7 linked regions of the Kluyveromyces lactis genome follow. The protein of the gene in region 3 purifies or fractionates together with the protein of the main gene of each other region. This does not show direct contact. Links are inferred from orthologs where the notes say so. Each region holds a gene or a part of one and is shown on either strand. Other genes may lie near its edges. The genes, in order: RRP5, UTP30, NOC4, LCP5, NOP1, CSL4 and UTP13.

Region 1 (4,093 bases), about 220 kb from region 3:
GTTCCAAGATTGCTGATGAAGTAGTTGTATTAGCGCTGGATCCCGTCCTTGTCGAAGAAAAGGACGGTCTTGCTGATTTATTCGCACTATGGGGTATTCCTGTAAATCTGCTGTCGAATGATGACATTGAGTCCCTCTTCAAAGGTGCGTTGGTCGACCTTATCTATTGATAGAATCCACTCCATATTACTTTTTAAAGGTTTCTGATATATATGAGAATGTAGGTTGATAAATTGAAGATAATTGATTTAATGAAATTTCATACCAAGACACATAATACATAAGGAAGGATAGGAGAAAAGGCAGGCCAATGATACCTCACGTTACAATGTGGAACTTTACTGTGTTGATAAAACTCTCGTAGTTCGATAGATATATAGACTGCCCCTGAAAATGGATCGAAAGGAGCCAGAAACAGCTTTAGACTGTAATATGATGGTGCTTTTATGCCTTATAATAAATATTTCCGGCTGTGAAAGTACCTTTAGAAATGAAATTGAACAAAAAAGAGAAAAAACATATAGTCTGATCTGAAACTATTACCATAGAAGGCATTCCACTCGTAATTGCACAAATTTTTCTTAGCATGACCAACAAAACTCTTATCACTCCCCTAGAACCTTTTAGTTACATGGTTTCCACCATTACAGATATGTAATTATTATACCTCTTTAAGAAGATAGAATAACTGGCTAACAAAAGCCCTTAATAGTTAAGAAGTATGTCATGCATTCAAAAGACCCTAATCCGTGGATACGGTTCAAACAAACTCCAGTGATAACAACGGAAGATCTGTACAACGTTCCATTATTAAACTGTCACTGCATCAAAGGCGCGATTACATTTCGTCTATGTCGTTTTGATTTCTTTTTTTTAATATTGAAAATTTTCAAAAATCGATGCGATGAGATGAGATGAGATGAGATGAGCTTTAGCTACTTAAGTGCTGGATCATTTGTATTGGTATGCTAACACATTTCTGAGCTTTGTTGATTCTAGAAACCAAGTGCAACTTTCTTAATTCTGGTAAAGATAAGTCTGGTTTACTTTCTCAAACAGGAAACAGTTTGGTATAACATATTTTGTATCTTTCTCTGAATTCTTTTTGCTTTGTGCTTTCTATTGGCTTTATTGGTTTCTATCTTCACAGAAGACAAAAACAACAACAACTTGGGAACAGGAGCTTCAATAGTTTGCAAGACACTTCAAGAAAAACATAGGTTTACATCTAAATTGCTAGGTGTAATTTGTTTTGAAAACAGGCATATCTAAATACCGAAAAAGATCACAAACATGGTTGCTCCACAAAGTAAAAGAAAGAGAGACGATGAGTCTCCTTTAGTAAGACAGGATGCTACCGAAGCACCAGCCAAATCTGCATTGAGTAAATCCGAGGAAATCTCATTTCCAAGAGGTGGTTCTTCTGCTTTATCCCCATTGGAAGTTAAGCAGGTTGGTAACGAAGTGGTTGCTGATGTTTTATTTGGCAAGGATGAATCAGCTACTGGTGCAGAGGGCCCAACGAAGAAGAAAAAGAAGAATGCTAAGAATAATTTTGATCAAATTACCACAGGTGATGATGAAGAAAAAGAGGACAAGACTGATTTAATTGAGCATTTTGGAATGAAACAAATGACCAAAGGGACCATTGTCTTGGGTCAAATCCAATCGATCAGCAAACATGAACTGAAAATATCTTTGGTGGACGGTTTGCATGGTTACGTCTCATTAACAGATATCTCTGAACAAATGACCAAGATTTTGGAAAATTTGGACGAATCCATGGAAAGCGATGATGAAAAAAATGAGGACTCAGAATACGATTCTTCAGATGATGAAAGCGACATAACAACTCCTAAAGAATTACCTGATCTCAATAAATATTTCAAAATAGGCCAATGGTTGAGGTGCATGGTACAAAATAACAGCGCTTTAGAATCAAACAAGAACAAAAAGTTAGACTTATCCATCGAACCCTCTGTAGTAAACGTGTTTGAAGATGATGATTTAGCTAAAAACTGTCCACTACAGTGTTCGTTGAAAAGTATAGAAGATCACGGTGCCATTCTTGATATCGGTATTGAGAACTTAACAGGTTTTATCTCAAAGAAGGATATACCTGAATTCAGTTCTTTGTTACCAGGTATGGTGTTCTTAGCTACAGTGACGAAAAGATCTGGTAGAACTGTAAATGTCAACTTGGATTTGGCCAGTAAAAACACCAAGGTCGAAAAGATCTCTTCCATAGATGCCATCGTGCCGGGTCAATCGATTGACTTTTTACCTCAAACTATCACAAATCACGGTGTTATCGGTAAAGCCTTCGGTCTAATAACTGCATTTTTGCCATTGCCACATTCCAATTTCTTTACGGTAGAGGATTTGAAGCATCACTACTCCATTGGTGACTTAGTCAATGCTAGAATTTTGGCAACCACTATAGTGAAAAGCGGCGATAAAGTTGCTGTCGTTTCCACACAACCTCATATCATCTCATTGCATCCAAAATTACAGGAGACCGAAGCGTTAGAATCTTTCCCCGTTGGCTATATCTTCGATTCTTGCACAGTTAAAGGCAGGGATAGTCAATTTTTCTACGTATCAATCAACAATGAACAGGTGGGACAAATTCATTTGTCAAAGGCAGGAGAAACTGAACCAACGGGAACTGTGAAAGCAAGAATACTCGGCTATAACAATGTAGATAAACTTTACACATTGACGTCTGATCCAGCCTTACTTGATGTCAAATACCTAAGATCGTCCGATATTCCAGCAGGCGAAGTTTTGAGCGCTTGTGAGATTGTCACAGTGTCAGGAAAAGGTATTGAATTAAAAATTTTCAATGATCAATTTAAGGCATTTGTTCCTCCCTTACACATATCTGATACCAGACTTGTGTATCCTGAAAGAAAATTCAAAATTGGTTCAAAGGTTAAAGGTAGAGTTCTCAATGTCGATTCTGTGGGCCGTGTCACTGTGACATTGAAAAAGTCTATTGTAAATGCAGACGAAGAATCTGTGACGTTAGTCTGCAAAAATGATGATATTCAGACTGTTGAAAGTCAAGAATTGAAAACAATTGGTACTGTTGAAATATTCAAGCCTAATGGTTGTGTTATCTCGTTCTTTAATAATATCAAAGCTTTCGTTCCAAACAAAGAAATTTCAGAAGCATTTGTAAAGAAACCACAAGAACACTTAAGACTAGGACAAAGTGTTTTGGTTAAAATTTTGAATCATGACTTCGAAAGAAACAGAATTATTGCTTCTTGTAAAATTTCAGCAGAGTCTTCTTCCAAGCAAAAGAGTGCTATTGAATCTTTAGTTGTCGGTAAATCTATCATCGATGCAATTGTTATTGAAAAGACTAAAGATTCCGTCATCGTAGAATCTAAAGATTCAGGGTTGCGCGGTGTTATTTACACCGGCCATTTGTCAGATGATAGAATTGAACAAAACAGAGCTTCGCAGAAAAAGTTAAAGATTAACTCTGAAGTTAGAGGTTTGGTTTTGGACAAGGACATCAGGACTCATGTGTTCAACATGTCCTGTAAAAAATCATTGATTAAAGATGCTGAAGACGGTACCCTTCCTTTAAGTTTTTCCGACATCAAAAATAAAGACAAAACAGAACCGATGCATGGTTACGTTAAATCTGTTTCTGACCGTGGTGTTTTTGTTGCATTCAATGGTAAATTTGTCGGTTTGGTTTTACCAAGTTATGCAGCAGAAACCAGAGATATTGATATTCATAAGAAATACTACATCAATCAATCCGTGACCGTGTATTTATTGAGAACAGATGAGGAACATGAAAGATTTTTATTGACTATTTTAAAACAAAAGACCGATGTTAAGAAGATCAATTCATCTGTAATTAACCCAGTCGACAAGTCTATCAAAGATTTGTCGGACTTCACTATCGGTAAGGTTACAAAGGCTACAATTACATCAGTTAAGAAGAACCAGCTTAACGTTACGTTGGCTGATAATGTACATGGTCGTATCAGTATTTCTGAAGTTTTCGACAGTTTCGAAGATATCAAAGAACAAAAGGCACCATTAAGTGTGTACAAGAAAAATGATTCAC
Region 2 (2,621 bases), on a different chromosome or scaffold from region 3:
ATTCACCAAAACTCTTATTGAACCGCCTTATGTTGTCATATTTGTGTAGGACATCTTCGGATCTAGGGAAAAAGCCTTGTTCTATTCTTTGATGCAGATATACTTCCTTAATGACAGCAAAACCCACACGGATAAGGTATAAAGTCAATGACAGTGATACAATAGCAGCGTAGGCACCAAGGTACACTCTCCGAAGGGCGAACATCGAATACCCAGCTAGGGAACTGCCATCGCTATAGATCATCTTATATATGCATGAAGTTTGCATACAGTGCCTATTTTAAGAATTCCATACATTTTTTTCATCAAAAATCTGTCAAAGTTCAAGATATACTGCTCAAGCCTCTTGAAGGAAAGGGCAGAAATTTAGCTGTTTCACATAGTACGGAAGGATTCACCAGTAATTACAACTATGTAATGATATGCTTATTTTTGAGAGGGTTCTATAATAGTATTTTTATTCTTAAATTAAAGTACATGTAAGACCAATTGGAGTTGTTTCATAGCCTAATTTCTTCATCGTCATCGATTGATTCTTGTTCTAGTTTCTTCCATATTGGTAAGCTCAGACTGTTGCTAGTCTTGACAAATATAGAGGAGATTTTCCCATCTTTGATGCACCCACCTTGTGGCTTTTTTGATCTGTCACACAGAAAGTCTATCACATCTTCTGCATTCGCCATTAATTCCGCCTCAGCATGTACGCCGATTTCCCCAATTTTAATGCTTAAACAGTTGTCTTTGTTTGGTAGAAACCAGGTATTCTTACATATGGACTTTACTTGTGCTTTCACGTATTTTGGGTCACAATCTTCCTTCATTTTGGAACCTTTCTCTTTAATTTGTTTTGACATTCTTACAACAAACGGCAGCTTTCTATTCGAACGGTAGAAAGTTGAGCCCAGGACACTTGGTAATAAATGGTGAACTCTGTAATCCGCTACTATCATGTCAAATTCATTATATAACTCTTTCAGTTTTTTACCTCTGAACCGTTGCTTCAGTTTCTTGACGCTGATAATTTCTTTGAATAATTCTGCCGTAGCCTTTTCCTTCGTCAACGAATCTCGATATAGCGTACTTGGGTCCTTACAGATCAGTAGAATTCGCACATCATTTGCAGATTTCATCTGGCTGTGTTTCAAAGGAATGATGCGGGGGACGTGGTCGTTTCTTATTCCAACAGGTTGTTGTGTATTGATGATCAAATGGATGCTGGTATCGTTAGCTAACTTGGGATCCACTTCACATTGTTTCGTCAAAGCTCGTAGAGCCTTGGTTGTAGCACCATCAGTATCTAATTCGATTGGCATAGCCCAATGTTCGCTGGTTTATCGAGAGTAGCAACAAACCTTTCTTTATTCTTTACATCCATGAGATGAGATGAGATGAGATGTCTCCATTTAGTAAAATTTTTGTAGTGAAATCAATTTCATAAAGAGTTATAAATGATAAATATCAAAAACGGACGTGAAAGCCACTCCGATGGTGCATAAATAAGACGCAACTTCAACGAAACCCTTCATGGTAAGCTGTAGCTTTGTATGTTCAGTAAAGATATACAGAAGATGTATTCGTTTGTTTCTTTCTAGAAGATATGATTTACATAGAGAGATAAAGGTTAAAAGTAAGTAAGATTAGAGTTTGAATAGAGAGATAGTTAAAGAAAATAACAGTAGCGGACAAAGCCAAACTTAACTTTTTTTCCTCCTAATAAATGTTTGGATCTGATGTTGATTATTCCTATTTTTTTTTTTATTTATTAAGTTTAATCGAACAATTCGCTGATGCTTGATGGCAATTCTTCAATTTGAGTAGAGTAGAATCTTTCCAATTCTCTCATAGCACCGATATCCTTATTGGTGACGAAGTTGATAGCAATACCCTTTCTACCGAAACGACCACCTCTACCGATTCTGTGGATATAGTTTTCCTTGTTGGATGGCAAGTCGTAGTTGATAACCAAAGAGACTTGTTGGACATCGATACCTCTAGCCAACAAATCAGTGGAGATCAAAATTCTTGAAGAACCACTTCTGAATTCCTTCATGATGGTGTCTCTTTCCTGTTGTTGCAAATCAGAGTAGATAGCAGAGACGGTGAAGTTGTTTTCTCTCAATCTTTCGGTCAATTCTTCGACCTTTCTTCTGGTGTTACAGAAAATAACAGCTTGGGTAACGGAGATAGAATCGTACAAATCGGTCAAACAGTCGTACTTGTATTGTTCTTCTTCAACGTTAACGTAGTATTGACCAATACCTTCCAAGGTCAATTCATCCTTCTTAACCAAGATTCTGACTGGGTCCTTCATGAACTTGGAAGTGACTTCCAAGACATCACCTGGCATGGTAGCAGACAACAAGACAACTTGGGAAGTTGGTGGCAACATGGTGAAAATGTTGTAGATTTGTTCCTTGAAACCAGTAGACAACATTTCATCGGCTTCATCCAAGATGAACATCTTGATGTTGTCAGTCTTGAAGATTCTACGGTCGATCATATCGAAAACACGACCTGGAGTACCAACAATGATTTGAGCACCACCTCTCAAAGCTTCGGAATCTTCTTGCAAAGAAGTACCACCGATACAAGCATGGACCTTAACGTCCATGTGGATAGCC
Region 3 (3,520 bases):
GTTATTATCCAATTCAATTGCACGTTTAGCATCGTCTAAAGAACTTTGGAAGTTATCCAACTTTAGGTTGGTGAACGCACGGTTTGAATATAGGATCGTATTCTCGGGATCATGCTCGATGGCTTTTGTATAATACTCAGCTGCCTTTGCGTACAGTTTCTCCTTCACGAACTTGTTACCTTCATTCTTCAGCTCTAAGGCTTTCTCTGGATTACAGGCTTTCACTTCCTCAGTCATTTATTCAATAGTAGTGGTAAAAAAGCAGCCAACTGGTATGGTATGTGCCTTTAAGTCCTCAAGACCGATAAACGGAGCCCATTTTAAAGTTTTTTCTGATGTGAGTCTTTCTCTTCTTGATGTTGACTTGTTGATTTTTTTCATCTCGATGTTTCAATATTACGGCGATGTGATGAGATGTAATGTGAAGAGATTTGCGAAAGTGAAAGAAAGTACTCAATTTGGAATTGAACTACTTAAGTTTTCTACTTGAAATTATGTATTTACCATTTTATGAAGGGTAGGAATGCTGAATCAGAACCTGATTCGAAAATTGTTTCAAACCTTTCGAATTCAAGAGCAGGTTGGATCTTCAGCTTTCTATTGGTTTCTGCTTGCAAAAGTGAATCGTAAGACCAATCTAAGAAATCTTCGATGTTGTAGCTTAACTTTTGGAAAGGTTGTTGGAAAATCTTCGCTAAAGTGGCTACGTTTGGATGGTAGTGATTCATTAGCGTTTCTAGCTCCCATACTGAGGAGGAAAGAGCATTTGTAAGTTCTGGATTGGTTTCTTCATTGTTGAATGGATCTAGATATTCTTGCCTTTTCTTTGAATCGCAGTCGATGTATTCTGGATCGTGTAATAGAATCATACATGTAGGATGCTTTCTGATTAGATTGTACACGAATGGTATTATAGAAACAATAGCACCTGGTGGTGCCGATACGGATAAACGTGCCAAACGTTTGATGAATGACGCTACCAGTTGTGCGGATAAATGTGTAGAAGATAGAAAGGTGTCCACTAATCTGAAAAATCTTGATCTGTACTTAACGTGCATTACTTCTGGAGTTAGAAGCTGATATAGTTTTGAGTAGAAATTTGGATATTCTAGGTTGTATTTTTTCATAAGTTCAAACAAACCATTTAATGAAAGGATTGAAACGATACCACCTTGGTTGTAAGAGTCGGTAAGGAAATCCATAAGCTTTGTTGGTTGATGGAACCATACTATAATTCTCTTGTGTAGCACTAAAAGCACAGTTTTATATTGGCTACTGGATAAGTTGGCTAAATTTAGACAGTGCAACCAATTTGTTTCGAGGTTGGATTTAAACTTAGCATCATTCTCGATGGCTTGTGGGGGCACAGATACGAATATTTCCAAGTCTGGTGATCCCTGAACATCGTTGTTGCATAAAGCCAACCATTTAGACATCAAAATTTCGTCAGATGTTTGGCCATCAAGTTCTGGTAACAACGATATCAGTTCTGATTGTGTGTAGAATTGAATATCGAAATTCTTCTTATAATAGGCTTCCACAAATAGATTAAACACGGGATTCTCGCTCTGACCATCTTTGAAACCGATATCACCTTCAAAGTTACAATGGAAAAGAGCCACTAGTAACGATCTTAAAGTCTTATTTGGAAAGAAAGGACTATTTGGTTTCGAAGCCCAATATATCGATTCATGGTGAAGCATTTTCATATATGAGTCCAAACAATCTAAACTCAACGAGTTAACTTCATGCAAAGATGTAATGATAGCCAATAACTTAACCTTATAATTTAAATATAGTTTCTTACACCATTCAAAGAATTTCTTTTCATTGGCATTGGATGCAAGATGAGGCATCAATTGACCACGCTCAAAAAGTTTGATGAAAATCTGACTCAAAGCAATGGTCATATAACGGTAATCATCTTCCAAATTGTGCAACAATTCGTTTTCCTTTAGAAGTTCATTGTACCCATGGATTAGGTTCACCAACGAGTTGTAATGTTTTCTATCATTGCCGGTGCTAATAGACTTCCAAACTTGCTTAATCTCTTCCTTCGAGAGCATCTTGGTTAATCGCTGTCTGAATCCTTGGGAAACTTTTATATGTGAATTCCAATTATTTATTGCGAGTAATCAAACAGATTATAACGGTGAGAATATCCTACCTTAACGTTTCCTATTCGACTTCATCTCATCTCATCTCATCTCATCTCATCTCTTGATTCCAAATTTTTCAGAGATTCTTGCAATGTAGAAGACAATTGAAAAGAAATTATTCTTATCACGTGATCGCATTTCCTAATAAACTAGCTATCAATGGCGACATTAAATATATAATTTAGAGTGGTAAACCATTCTGTTGTCAGTCAAGTCTTGCCTGCATCACCTTGAATACGCACACTGATGCTCGTTCCTTCAGGGGGTGCGTATCCTCCAGTTCACGGCAGCCTATGAGCCCTAACAGCATACAAATTTCAACGATTAGTATAAAATGATCTAGCCCGAATTTCATCATATATAAGAGAAAGATTTATGAACCAAGAAATTACAAGACACAATTGGTGATGTAGAAGAGATGTAACTTTGATAGGCTTTACTTGTATTACTCTTTTTGGGCTTAAATCCACATGACCTTCCAAGTTTTAAAAGAAGACGATGATACTATTTGCGCTTTTTTAATTCTTACAATTCTTTCGTGGATGGGAATTATTTTCTGTTCATGGTTTTAATGGAGAATGTGGTGCCCTCGCAAGCCTTATAATCTTGTTACATTCTTTGAATGATTTGGGACACTTTTTATAAAATTCTGATTCTTTTTGGGAAGGTCATCCCATGTATAGACTTGATGTGAGTTTGTGTGTTTGAGTCTTGCTTCTTGCTAATATGAATCGCCTTGTGCGATTCATTTCAAAAACTAAACTAACTGTAAACGTAAACGTAAATATTAGATAGAAAAAAATGCCGTGATACGATGGTATCGTGAATATGACAAGTCGGAGCGGGAACAAATGAATCAACTATGAATCAGAGTTAGAATCTGGCACCAATTTTCATTTTCACTTCGTTACTTTTCGTTTCTCTGCTGCTTTGTCATATTCTTTTGATATGCAATTGATACTGAGTCATTTTCAATATCTCGAAAGAAAAAAGAATACGGCGATTCAAGCTCTGGTGAAAAATTTTGGAAAAAGTATAAAGAATTGATGCTCATCACAAGAAAACTAATGCTCGCTTGTAATAAGAATTGTTTATATGTTTATGTTAGGATCTTTGTTTTGTATTAGTATTGGTTTTTTACTCGCTCTTATCAATTAGATATACAGAATAACGAAGTAACAGGACCCAAGATGTGTGGTATATTTGCTTCATTCAGAAACCCTGATGTTCAGGCTTACAAACCAAAAGCTTTACAATTATCCAAGAGAATCAGACACCGTGGTCCAGATTGGTCAGGTAACATTGTTAAGAACTCTACTATTCTAGTTCACGAAAGATTGGCTATTGTCGGATTGGACTCT
Region 4 (2,911 bases), on a different chromosome or scaffold from region 3:
GCATGAAATTGTCAGTCTCATTGGCTATAATTCAGTATTTAACGCTAAATATATGATTAAATAATGATGATTTAGCCAGTACTTTCTAATAAGGGAACTCAGTTCTAAAATGAAATAGTAATATACAATAACGTAGCGGAGTGGGGGGTGATGCAATAGGGAATAATTGAGATGAGTAGGAATTTTGGTAGTAATAGGTTGTACTTGTTCTTACACAAGTAGCACAGCGTTGACACAACCGTCTCTATCTGGCTCATTCGTGATTTGAGCATATTTACCCCAAACCACTTTACCACCAGAAGTAACCATACCTAATTCCGAGACGTTCACTTCAATAATAGTACCCTTGGTTAATACACCCAACTGTGTGTACATTGGCGATTGAGGATTCTTCTTCACCGCAAGAATTGGCAAGAAAACGGTGACTCCAAGTTCCGGATGCGTCACATTAGCCTTCTTTTGTCTCAAAGCACTAGGTCTGATAATCCTTTCCATCTTCACAGGCCTTCTTGTAAACCCTTCACCAACAAACGTATGTTTCGTGATCATTCTCTTCCATGCCTTAGACTTAGACTTACCTGTCTTAACAACTTTGAACATCTCTTCCTCACTGATACCTCTGACCTTAGGCAAAGGAACAGAAAACTTGTCAGCCTTCTCCAAACGCTTCTGCTTGATGGAACTGGATATAGCCTTTGCAGTGTTGTTCTGTTCTCTGTCTAACAAATAAGTAGGCAAAGCCTCCCCGTTCTCATCCAACGGTTTGGACCCTCCTTTAACTTTACTCTGCTCATGAGCACGGATCTTCTTCTTCATAGCAACCTTCTCAGCATAACGCTTCTTAGCAAATTGCTTACCCTTCCAACCAGTCAATTTCTGAGCCTTTTCAGAGATCTTATGAGCCTCACGGGCTTCTCTCTTACGTTTTCTCTCATCGTGGTCTAATCTACGACCATGTTGCTTGATGTGCTGTTCGATATATTCGTTTTGAGGCATCTTTGTTTTATTGTAAGAACGACTTGTTCGGTGATGACTTACTTCTAAATCACAAACGGACACACGGACTCCTTGAATGGACTTCTTACCACATGTTAACCCATGCGATGAGCTAGTTGTTCAAGTTGTCTTTGTATGCTTTTCTCATTGAAAGAAAAAAATTCAATAGGAAATGTCGAAAAGAAACGTAGTGAAAAAAAAAATTTGGAATCAAGCGATGAGATGAGATGAGATGGGTATCAGCCAGATACAAGTTTGGTTGTCTGGTGTGGGTTTGGCATAGGTTCGATCTACTGTTATTGATGTATAAAACCTCATTACATTCTATTGACAAGGGTTACAGCGGAAATATAGCCATGTCTGAGGAGTTAGGAACTGTTTTGAAAACGATTAGAGATTCTTTGAAATCTTGTGGAGAAAGCTTGGATAAGTTAGAAGAAGTCTATGATGATGAGGAGACCCATCCTTTCCAAGGTTCAGCGGTGGTAGGTCACAAAGGTGATAAATTAGAAAAAGTTTCTCTACTTTCTTTGAAGAATGGGAGTATGCTATCGTATTTGAATTCGCTTCTGTTGGTATTGGGACAGAAATTGAATAAAGAGATGGTTGTTGATGAGGGTAGAGTCAGGGCAGTGGAACAACGAGTTGTTCTTGAAAGAGGTGTGAAGCCCTTGGAGAAGAAGTTAGGGTACCAGCTGGATAAATTGACGCGGGCGTACATTAGACTGGAGAAAGACGTTGAAGAATCCAAGAAAAGAGCCGAATTGCAGGGACTGAGTGACGTACGTGCTTCCCAGGAAGAAGTATCAGACTCAGATTCTGATAGTGAAGAAGAGATGCAATATAGGCCGAACAGTTCAGGAATGGTCAATAACACATCAGTTGGAGGGAAAGCCAAGGGGAAAATCGCTGTCAAGAGTACTCACAATGAAGAAGATGTGGATGATAAAGATAACGTTTATAGACCACCTAAGATCAGTGCCGTTCTGCCACCAAAGCAACATCACTTCGAGGATAAATTCAACGCACAAGAACATAAGGATAAGAGTAGCAGGTCTCGTATGCAAGCTATGGAAGAATACTTGAAGGATTCCTCGGAACAACCGGAATGGGAAACTTCTATCGGTGCCAATATCGTCAACCATGGTAGAGGTGGTGTGAAGACAGCAAGAGATACAGAACGTGAACGTGATGTTCAAAGATTCGAAGAAGAAAATTTCACTAGATTGAACCCCAACGGATCCAAGACTGACAAGAGAATGAAAAAACAAAGAGAAATCATGGCCAAGGTTAATATGATCGCCGGTGAAGATTTCAGTATCTTCAACTCCAAGCGTAAGTTGGAGGATAGTACAAGCAGAAGAGGTAATAAGAAATCTAGAAATGCTTGGGAAAGAGCCAAGAAGAAGTTGTAAACCTGAGGTCCTTCTTTTTCTATGTATAAATAGGCTAAAATATCCATACGTCTCTATTGTCATCATATAGTGTCAAATACGTAGTTTATAAATCGAATGATAACGGTGTTGCACTGCTCAAACTCTAGCTTTGATGTGGTTTGTTTCGTTTCGTTTTGTCTCGTTTTCTTCATATCAAGGTGTAATCACCAATAATTAATTAATACAATCTAAGCGTTCCAACTTTGCAAGATATAATCACCACCTATCACCCCTACTAATCTCCTACCAGCGTACAACTTCCAGCGCCCCTGATGAAGAACGAATACACCAGAAAGAAAGTCTCAGCAAAGGATAGGAAAGCATGTCTGATATGTGGTAACCCTACAGTCACAGTTTTGTTCAATGGAAGCGGACCTGATTGGTTTTATACATGCGATATACATCTAGTTGATAACCCGCAGTTTGTACAGCCTCTATACCCAAAAGAGTATCACGAGTCTCTGGTTAGTCTTAAGCCA
Region 5 (2,705 bases), on a different chromosome or scaffold from region 3:
CCCTAACTGTTGCGTTTAAAGACAAAAGGTAAACTAAAGAATGGATCAAGATCGGACCCAAATATTCGATGAAAAACACCAGTCTCCAAGAGATCTGCGGACCCAAATCCTTAACATACCACTCGTTAACTGAATCGAACGTGTTTTTCTTACCAACATCGTTCAATTCAGAGGGCCCAATGGCGACTTGCTTACCTTCTTTCAGATAGCTTAACCTTAACCTGTTAACGCTAATATTGTGATTGCTTTTCGAAATCTGTTGCAAAACAGATTGATATGTCAACGTATTTTCTGTTGGAACTTCCAACTTGACGTCTTTTAAGCTCTTTGAGCGTGATTTAATAAAAATTGAACTGGATGCAGACATAAAGGGACACTTATCTAGGTAATATCTTCAACTGTCGGATTAAAATATACAGCGATAGTTTGGAAAATAGGATCTCAAAACTAAACCAGAAAATTTATCCAGATATACTAATTCAGATTCTGATTGCTATAACGTACAAAAGTCAAAGCTGGTTCCACTTCTCTGATTTTTTATCTGCTTTTATAAAGATACCGATATTCACAACAACAACCAAAAATGATCTCATCTGCATATTTTCGCAATGTTGACTATGAAAAACTTGTATAGAAATCCTTAGTAAACGTACGCATTGTAGCAAGTATCTGGCTCAACATAGCAAAAAAAAATCTTGAAAAGTTGTAGATTCATATGATTATATAATCAATTCATATCACGTGATACAGATGTGACAATAGTCATGTGACTTTAACGTTCATCGTTCTGTACGTACCAAGAGGCACAGAAAGACCAAAGATGAGAACTTTGAAAAAGAAATTTAATATTGTTTTTTCATTCAAAATTTTTCAGCTGAAAAAAAAAAGTTTCGAAAGCTCATCTCATCGAATGTAAAGTAAGAGTTTATTAAGTTGTTCTTGCTTGAAAGAAGTAATCAATTGTTTATAGAATAGTATTGTGTACGTTTTCTGTTCCTATAATCTACCCATTTTAGAAGAGTTTTACAGCCGTCCAGGATTCTGTTTCAAAGTCAACGACAATACCTGTTACTGATTCACAATTTTAATTCTTTTTTTTTCCTTTGTCCAATTTAGAGAGAAGAAGATCAAGAGCAGCAACAGCAGCATAATCATTATATCTCAAGACAGATAATTCCCAACTAGTTAAGAATAATAATGGCATTCCAAGCAGGTTCTAGAGGTGGCAGAGGCGGTTCCCGTGGTGGATTCGGCGGTGGTTCCAGAGGTGGTTCCAGAGGTGGATTTGGCGGTGGCCGTGGTGGATTCGGTGGTTCCCGTGGTGGTTCCAGAGGTGGATTCGGTGGTGGTCGTGGTGGTCCTCGTGGTGGCGCTCGCGGTGGTTCCAGAGGTGGATTTGGTGGTGCCCGTGGTGGTTCCAGAGGTGGTCCTCGTGGTGGTGCTCGTGGTGGTGCTCGTGGTGGTGCCCGTGGTGGTGCTAAGGTTGTTATCGAACCTCATAAGCATGCTGGTGTTTTTATTGCCAGAGGTAAAGAAGATCTTTTGGTCACAAAGAACATCGCTCCAGGTGAATCTGTGTACGGTGAAAAGAGAGTTTCAGTTGAAGAACCTTCCACTGAAGAAGGTGTCCCACCAACTAAGGTGGAATACCGTGTTTGGAATCCTTTCAGATCCAAATTGGCTGCCGGTATCATGGGTGGTTTGGATGAACTATTCATTGCTCCAGGTAAGAAGGTTCTATATCTAGGTGCTGCTTCCGGTACATCTGTGTCCCACGTTTCCGATGTCGTTGGTCCAGAAGGGTTGGTTTACGCTGTTGAGTTCTCTCACAGACCAGGTAGAGAATTGATCTCTATGGCTAAGAAGAGACCAAATGTTATCCCAATTATTGAAGATGCTAGACATCCACAAAAATACAGAATGCTTATCGGTATGGTTGACGCCGTCTTCGCAGATGTTGCTCAACCTGATCAAGCCCGTATTATTGCTTTGAACTCTCATATGTTCTTGAAGGATCAAGGTGGTGTCGTTATCTCTATCAAGGCTAACTGTATCGATTCTACTGTTGATGCTGAAACTGTGTTCGCTAGAGAAGTTCAAAAATTGAGAGAAGAAAAGATTAAGCCTTTGGAACAATTGACTTTGGAACCTTATGAAAGAGACCATTGTATCGTTATCGGTAAATACATGAGAAGTGGATTATAAGAGCTGCTAAAGAAATATTGATATTTTGAAACCAATGCTAGAGTATGCCTACTTGGTTCATGATTCCTTCTATTAATCTTTTTTTTTTGGCTTCTAATCTTTTTTTGCTTACTTTTTAGTTTTAAAAACCTTCATTCCAATACAATCATTAACACTATAATATTATTTGAAATTTTGCATCTCATTGATTCGTGATAAAGTTCTACAAACTAGAAAAGTCTCCACTTCGTCTTCACTTGTATTTTGTCACTCTGTGTGTTTCTTTTACTTACAGTCCAGGTCCTTCGCCTGTTCAAAGGAGATCGACTAACTGACGGGAAAAGAATAGAAGAAGATTTCAAAACCTTGTTCATCAACTTGACAATACAAAAGAACCCATTTTCACAATAACGGTATTAATACTCGAACACTCTTAACCTTATTTTGTACATTTAATTTGTAGATATATTATTATTATTATCACATACTATATATAACTTATATATATCAATAACAACCAT
Region 6 (2,789 bases), on a different chromosome or scaffold from region 3:
TGGCTTGCGTGGACCTTTTTGAAGCTCATCCATCCTTTTATTGATCCGTTGACTCGTGAAAAATTGGTTTTTGATGAACCATTTCCAAATTATGTGCCACCTGATCAACTCGAGACGCTTTATGGTGGTAACCTCGACTTCAAATATAATCATGAAGCCTATTGGCCTGTCCTAACTCAAATTGCAGAGAAGAAGAGAAAGCATTATCTACAAAGATTTGAGAAGTTCGGAAAAAAAGTTGGACTGAGTGAATATGATTTAAGAGGTGACCACGATGAGTTGAAATTCCCAATCAACTAAAAGTCCAACTAACTTTTCTGATAATAACATATGATATTCAGGCGTTGAATTCACAATGATCTTAGTAGAAACTTCCTCAATATTCCCAATATGCGTGAAGCCTAATACGAAACTAATGTAAATGTAAATGAAAGTTGTAAATGTATGTATGTGAAGGTACCTATAGACTTGAACAAAAAGCTTGTTGTGTTCCGACTATATTAGAAGGGCTTTGCACATTTTCGTTTCTCAGCGACTCCGGTCTTTGGTGAAATCATTGTCTGCCAATCAATTGCATACATCTGTTCTCCAGCTCCGTTAGAAGACTTAGCGAACACCACGCCCAAGTCATTCCTTGCTGTAGTTAAATAGTAATGGGTACCATCGCCAAGTGAGAGCACTTGAGCACGTATTATATCCCCAGGTTTAAAACTTTCCATAACTTTTACTCTATCTCTATCAGTGGCCCTTACATCTTGGGATCTAATTATGCCCCTAAAAGTTTCTCCCAAATCCGCGGACACTTGCGAAACGGAAAACGTAGACGCACCAGATCCACCAGCAGCAGCAATTATGCCAGTCCCATTGCTTCCGACACCAGAGTCGATCGGCAAGGGCGAATTCTCAACTGCTAAAATCTCAACTGTTATTCTTTGCAAACTGATTCTGGTCACCCTCGCCAGTACGATATCGCCCTCTTGCGGAAGGTTATTGACAAACTGGTCATCAACATACTTGCTAGCAAACTTGCTAGGATTTGATACTGATACTTTGAAACTTTTTATAACTCTACTATTGCCAGAGCTTGCATCCCCTCCGGTGGTCTCATGAGATTCTACAAACGTCGTATTCTCTGAGTCTTCTTGATCGTCGTCTTCGATAATATCTGCTGGAACTTCTTCCACAGATACAGAACCTTTTAATGTGGCTACGATAATATCAACGTTCTTGCCGTTAACTCTAAAATTCTCCTGTTTACAGCCAGTGCCCGTTAGGAAGCGTATTACCACTTCTTGCTTGTTATCATCATCAACATCAAATATTGGACATATAAGATCACCGGGTATAACAGTCTGGGGGAAATTTTTAAAAGGCTTCATTTTATAACGATGCATATAGACAAACCTTACTGTTATCAAACACTCTTATTATCTTACAGGCCATATTTAAGCTAGTTTGGTATTACTGTTAGCTCATCGCATAAAGCAGCTCTTTTTTTATCATTTTCATAATGAGTGAAACAATTTTCAAAATTTGGGAGATGTTGAAGACAAGTTAGAATTATTTTCAAATAGTAGGGTAATATTACCAAAGCTTTCAAAGCGGGCTCAACACGAAAGCTACGTGCACGATTTGAATCCATATAAAGGGAAACATAGAAACGCATGGTAAATGATTTAACTACTATGATTACATGTATTTATAGGTCTACTAAAAGAAGTGAGTGTTGCACATAGAATCTTCGTGAATGTCCATTTCTGCTTTAAGCTCATTCAGCTCGTCCTTTATCATTTGGGCCAATTGAGGAGTAAGTTGATTGCATGTTGCCGAATCAGGATGCCTATCATACTCAAGTTCACCATAGGTCTCATAAAGGACTATTTGAGAGGAAAACTTAACAAGTTTTGCTGCATAGCTAGATCTTTCTTCCGATTTCTTCGACATCTGATCTGAGATATGTTCAAGTCCCGTAAGCCCTGAAAGTTCCATGGTACTGTTGAATTGTGGCGCTTTCAAACCCCTAAAAGACATCGATATAGGCCTGCTCATCGATGTTGTGATATCTGGTAAAAATGCGTTGATCTTTGGGGATTCTTTTACTGCATGTATGCCATTAAAATCTTCGTTCTCAAAATCTTCCTCATCATAATTATCAAAATATAAACTGCTATCAGAAAAAGTGTTTTGGTTGCTACTGCTAACATTTTCTGGTGATGTGTCTCTTGTTTTTATAGTACTTGATATGTGTTTCTGATCATCCAAACCAGTCTGTTTTTGGTTGAGTACTGAACTGTTTGTCTTAATTTCTGGGGAGTTAGTAAGTTCCACAAGAAATGAGTTTTCTGTCTCAGTATTGAAGCTGGGCTTGGATAGAGAGTTTTTCACAGATTCTTTGACCGGATTTAGAGTTTCATAGTGTGAACGATTGTCAGAATAGAGATCAAAATTTAACTCGATATCTTGTCCAAAGTCTATTATACTTGCAAATTCCATGATATCTGAGATTAATTCGTTGTCTTCATTATCTGAATCTTCAAGACTAGATTTAGTTGCCTTATTCTGCACCAATGGTTTTTCTAGTTGATCTTCTTGATCAGATTCCATTGTCAGCTCGTTTAACTTTTGCTCTATGGAACCAAAAGAAAAATCTCTCTGTTGTGGTGAAATTGTGAAACTTGCACTTCGAGTACCATGACTATTGTCCAAATCAGAACTGGCGGATATTTTTTCATCAGACGTAGTTTCAAACTTTCCGCTGCGCAGAATACTGCTCACCGGAGATTTCGTTA
Region 7 (4,009 bases), on a different chromosome or scaffold from region 3:
TATGTCCCTCTGACATGATAGTTTCCGATAGAGCTTCTCGTTAATATGGAGGAGAGTTAACTTTAAAGTATAACTGTCAAAAATTCACAGTTGAAGTCACCTTTTAACAGAAGAAGGATGAGAGCCGATCTCATCTCATCTCATCTCATCGCTTCACATCGTCTAGTTATTTGATGAAGTTTCTTTTGCAGGGAAACAAATTCTGTCTAAAACTCAAAGCCGGGTAACAAACTTATTATTCTACTGATGGATGGCCCTTGACTGGATATGGTATCTATTCAGAGTTGATGCGGTGGGTGTGTTGTACTGTTATATGTATATATCTACATGACGACTAGTGCTATATTTACATTCTTTATAGCAATTTGTCCATTTGAACTAAAGCGTAATCTAAGATATAACTTTCTTGAACCAAGTTATCCATTCTTGAGTAATGTCTCTCTGCGTATGAGATTATTGATTCAACGATCCTTACAAGCCCAGGAATTTCGCTCAACTCTTCAATATTTTGTCTTAGAAGAATACACCTTATCATCTTTTGGGCTACTGTGTGTGTTCTTGCATTTGTATTCCAATCTCTGCACCTTTTCACTAAAAGAAGAAGTTGATCTTTATCTAGAGTCGACACAACCTCGTCAATTTCGTTGTTGAAAACTACATTTGGATCCTCATTTGAGTTGTCTACACTTTGTCTTAAGACGTTGTACAATCTCATTGGGTGATCCAAGGTCATGGCAAGCAAAAATGCGTTAGTCCAGTCACCTTCTGAGAGATAATTTTGTAATGATTGTTCTTGTTCAATCTTCAGTTTCTCTTGCTCGAGGTTACGTTCGTGTTCCTCTTCACTGTTATCCCTCCAGAACTCAAAGAAGCCGTCAGCATCTGCTGTAACGAAGGATTCACCATCGTTCATAACAGCAAGAGCCCAGATACGGTTATTGTGAGCATCTAGTGTCTTGACCGATTCACCAGTTGATAGATCCCAAATAATAACTAAACCATCAGCACCAGTACTTATCAGTTGCTTGTTCTTGTTTATGAAGGAACATCTTTGAACTGCATTGGTATGTCCTTCCAAAGTTTTTACGACGGCATATGATTCTAAGGACCAAATTTTGATGGTCTTGTCACCGGAACATGTGGCCAATAACTTGTCATATTGACAGAATGCAACGTCCCATAGACCACGTTTGTGGTTTGCTAATGTGGCTTGGAATTCACCATCATCCAAATTCCATATTTTACATGTCTTATCGTATGAAGCCGTGGCAAATAGAGAATCATTAGGTGAAATGGAGATAGCATTGATATCCTTTTCATGCGCCCTTCTGGTATATTCTGAGGTCTTAACAAGTATTAGATCTTCGGGTTCATCAGATGTCACCTTAGGAACCTTCCATTTCTTTATGGTCAAATCGTTAGAAGCTGTAATTATGAATTCAGGCCATGAACGTGGCATAACATTAGGAAGTCCAACAGCATTCACAGAACCTACATGACCGACAAATTTAGTGTATGGATAAAAGTCTTCGTACTTTGCATGATATCTCCATAATATAACGCTGTGATCCTTGGATGCTGTAGCAACCCAGAGACCATCAGCGGTGGCATCCAAAGAGTTGAGTAGATCCGTATGACCCTCGTACATCTTTACTTCAATAGGAAATGTTTCTTTGTTCTCCCCATTTTCGAACTCTTCCTCCGAAGAAGTTGGGGTTGGAATTATTCTAAGAGTAGGAGAGTTAGTAGCTAATGCTAATTTATCCCGTTTTGGACCAACGAATCTTATATCTGCAATGGTACCATGATTACCTGCAATCTTATTTTCCACTTCAATTACTTCAGATTCCGATTGTAAAGCTGATTCAACATCTATTAGGAACAAAGTTTGATCTGAAAATACCAAGTACTGCTTAGTTCCGTTCAGGATACATAGTGTACCAATAATAAATAGCTCTTCAATAGGTTTTGCTGTTTTCTTTAATACTCTTCCTGTTGACAAGGACACTAATTGGTAAATGGCACCACCACCGGCTGAGTAAACCACATCCGGGTCCTGCGTAAATCCACACGATTCCACCTGTTCTATGACAGGGATGGTCTTCAGTAGCTTATACTTTTTCGTCGAATTAAACTCGAAGAGATTTAAGATATTGTCTCTACCACCAGATAATAACTGCAGCGTTCCCTTTTCTTCATCAGTGACACGGAAATCTAGCCCTCTAACAGCTGTAGTATGTTCCTGAATAGTGCATTGACAATTACGTTTAACTAAATCCCAGACTTTAATCATACCGTTGGTATCACCAGATGCAAGCTTCCAAATTTCACTGTTCAACTCACCGTGAAACTTTACACTTGAAATGGTAGCACCATGTCCTTTCAAAGAGTGCGTGACATATCCATTTTCAATATCAATAACACTAACACTACCATCAGTACCACCTATAGCCAAAAGTGTAGATGTTTGATCGCAATTCATGACGTACACCGGTGACGAAATCTTCATTGATCTGATAATTCTTTCTTGTTTCAAAGAATACACTCTGAGCAACTGCGCTTGTGAGACAAAACACAAATAAGAACCATCTGGAGTTAAATGCAATGCGGTGATGTCTTGTTCATCCTCAGTATCAACAGAATGCAACACTCGGCGTGGGCTATCTAAGCTAACAATGTTGATTTTATCGACGACCGAAGTCGCTAATAATCGTCCATCTTCAGAAACAGATGCTATAGCACCAGTACCAGCATAAAACGGCTCTAGTTTCGTGGATGCATAGGTAGTTCTCAAATCCATTGTGCGAGTGGGAGATCCAAGGTGCTGTCCTGGGTGCTAATAATTGGCCAGGTATAATCTTATTGGTTCACCTAGCATATTTCTGTGATGCGATGAGATGAGATGAGATGAATTAAACTTTTCAACATTCGAATTGAACAAAAAAAAGAAAAAAACGTAGACAATGAGGCATGGGTTATCATATGCTTGAAACAGAAAGAGATTGAACATATACAAAGGAGCTGAAAACCGGGAACGGTCTTTAGACAATGTTTATTTGCACTTACACATATTTGCTAAATATTTGCTAATATTCTAATGGATATGATTTTAAAGTTAATTGTTGATTTATGAGAGAAGTACAACACTCCTCTTACGGAAAAAATGGTGAAGCTGAATAGAGCTTCACAGAATGATATCTATGTAGATTATATCCAAGAAAGTGTAGTAGGTAGAATACAGATAATTGTAGTTTATGGTTATGCTTTAGTCGAGTAGTTTCGCATCAGCAGCAGTGGTAAAACCAAGGAATAAAAAATAAAATCAAAGGAAGTGAAAATGAGGGTTAACTTGGGAGTTCTGTTGATCCTCCGATGATTTCCTCCAGATCAGCTAGCGCCGTCTCACTGAAAAGTCCATTCTTGGTTACTCTCATATGTTCAGCAGCAGCTTCGGCGATACTGTTTCTTCTTCTCCATGCGGCAACATGGCTCATTTGTTCATGGTTAAAATCAATTTCTTCAATCGGGGCAGTCAGAGAAACCAGGAGATCTGCATCGTCACTGCCTAATAGATCAATATCTCCATCTTCATCTCCATGATGAGAAAGTATTAAATCATCATCAGATTTCAGCAGTTGATCAATTTCATCCATTCCTAATCCCTTCACAGAATTCTTCCTCGTTGGTAAAACCAGACCGTTGAAATCATTAGGTGTGTTTCCAGCATCTGCATCGGTGAAAACACTTGAACTTGGACTAGCCAAATTCACGCTAGAGGGAGTTTGAATGTTGTTGTGAGAATCTGCGTTGGGTTCAGTTTCAGTTTCTTGTTCAGGAGCAGTGAGCAATTTTTGCTTTTCAATTCTTTGCCTTTCCCTTCTGATTTTCAAGAGCTTCTTTTTCTTCTTTATCTTCCGTCGCTTTTCATCTTTCTTTCTTTGGTATTCCTTCATCTTATCGATCTTCCTTCTAGTCCTTTCACTACCAACGTAACCAATTGGGAACTTGC

Evidence for each region.
Region 1: the proteins of NOC4 (region 3) and RRP5 purify together in Saccharomyces cerevisiae (affinity purification with mass spectrometry; 9 studies listed by BioGRID, with this or other methods). This does not show direct contact. The link is inferred for Kluyveromyces lactis from reciprocal best matches to the Saccharomyces cerevisiae genes NOC4 and RRP5.
Region 2: the proteins of NOC4 (region 3) and UTP30 purify together in Saccharomyces cerevisiae (affinity purification with mass spectrometry; 5 studies listed by BioGRID). This does not show direct contact. The link is inferred for Kluyveromyces lactis from reciprocal best matches to the Saccharomyces cerevisiae genes NOC4 and UTP30.
Region 4: the proteins of NOC4 (region 3) and LCP5 purify together in Saccharomyces cerevisiae (affinity purification with mass spectrometry, with the first as the bait; 4 studies listed by BioGRID). This does not show direct contact. The link is inferred for Kluyveromyces lactis from reciprocal best matches to the Saccharomyces cerevisiae genes NOC4 and LCP5.
Region 5: the proteins of NOC4 (region 3) and NOP1 purify together in Saccharomyces cerevisiae (affinity purification with mass spectrometry; 6 studies listed by BioGRID, with this or other methods). This does not show direct contact. The link is inferred for Kluyveromyces lactis from reciprocal best matches to the Saccharomyces cerevisiae genes NOC4 and NOP1.
Region 6: the proteins of NOC4 (region 3) and CSL4 purify together in Saccharomyces cerevisiae (affinity purification with mass spectrometry; 3 studies listed by BioGRID). This does not show direct contact. The link is inferred for Kluyveromyces lactis from reciprocal best matches to the Saccharomyces cerevisiae genes NOC4 and CSL4.
Region 7: the proteins of NOC4 (region 3) and UTP13 purify together in Saccharomyces cerevisiae (affinity purification with mass spectrometry; 7 studies listed by BioGRID, with this or other methods). This does not show direct contact. The link is inferred for Kluyveromyces lactis from reciprocal best matches to the Saccharomyces cerevisiae genes NOC4 and UTP13.

What each region holds. Positions count from the first base shown.
Region 1 is NC_006038.1:728,557-732,649, forward strand, and holds the start of RRP5 (Rrp5p), read left to right. Parts: upstream 1-1,293; coding exon 1,294-4,093. Other genes in the region: YPK9 (putative acid anhydride hydrolase), read right to left, coding at 1-127.
Region 2 is NC_006037.1:536,581-539,201, reverse strand, and holds UTP30 (Utp30p), read right to left. Parts: upstream 1,314-2,621; coding exon 501-1,313; downstream 1-500. Other genes in the region: KLLA0_A05775g (glycosyltransferase family 15 protein), read right to left, coding at 1-268; KLLA0_A05731g (uncharacterized protein), read right to left, coding at 1,769-2,621. UniProt on the Saccharomyces cerevisiae protein: Involved in rRNA-processing and ribosome biosynthesis.
Region 3 is NC_006038.1:952,665-956,184, reverse strand, and holds NOC4 (ribosome biosynthesis protein NOC4), read right to left. Parts: upstream 2,067-3,520; coding exon 501-2,066; downstream 1-500. Other genes in the region: PPT1 (protein serine/threonine phosphatase), read right to left, coding at 1-237; ASN1 (asparagine synthase (glutamine-hydrolyzing) 1), read left to right, coding at 3,350-3,520. UniProt on the Saccharomyces cerevisiae protein: Involved in nucleolar processing of pre-18S ribosomal RNA and ribosome assembly. Has a role in the nuclear export of 40S pre-ribosomal subunit to the cytoplasm.
Region 4 is NC_006041.1:1,205,624-1,208,534, forward strand, and holds LCP5 (small subunit rRNA maturation protein LCP5), read left to right. Parts: upstream 1-1,223; coding exon 1,224-2,411; downstream 2,412-2,911. Other genes in the region: rRNA-processing protein NSA2, read right to left, coding at 211-996; VFA1 (Vfa1p), read left to right, coding at 2,705-2,911. UniProt on the Saccharomyces cerevisiae protein: Component of the U3 small nucleolar ribonucleoprotein. Required for the early cleavages at sites A0, A1 and A2 of the pre-ribosomal RNA. Participates in ribosome biogenesis.
Region 5 is NC_006039.1:400,224-402,928, forward strand, and holds NOP1 (rRNA methyltransferase NOP1), read left to right. Parts: upstream 1-1,197; coding exon 1,198-2,205; downstream 2,206-2,705. Other genes in the region: trans-2-enoyl-CoA reductase (NADPH) TSC13, read right to left, coding at 1-367.
Region 6 is NC_006040.1:1,659,619-1,662,407, forward strand, and holds CSL4 (exosome non-catalytic core subunit CSL4), read right to left. Parts: upstream 1,395-2,789; coding exon 501-1,394; downstream 1-500. Other genes in the region: BNI4 (Bni4p), read right to left, coding at 1,711-2,789.
Region 7 is NC_006042.1:1,222,969-1,226,977, reverse strand, and holds UTP13 (U3 snoRNA-associated protein UTP13), read right to left. Parts: upstream 2,801-4,009; coding exon 356-2,800; downstream 1-355. Other genes in the region: RSA3 (Rsa3p), read right to left, coding at 1-16; KLLA0_F13222g (uncharacterized protein), read right to left, coding at 3,345-4,009. UniProt on the Saccharomyces cerevisiae protein: Involved in nucleolar processing of pre-18S ribosomal RNA.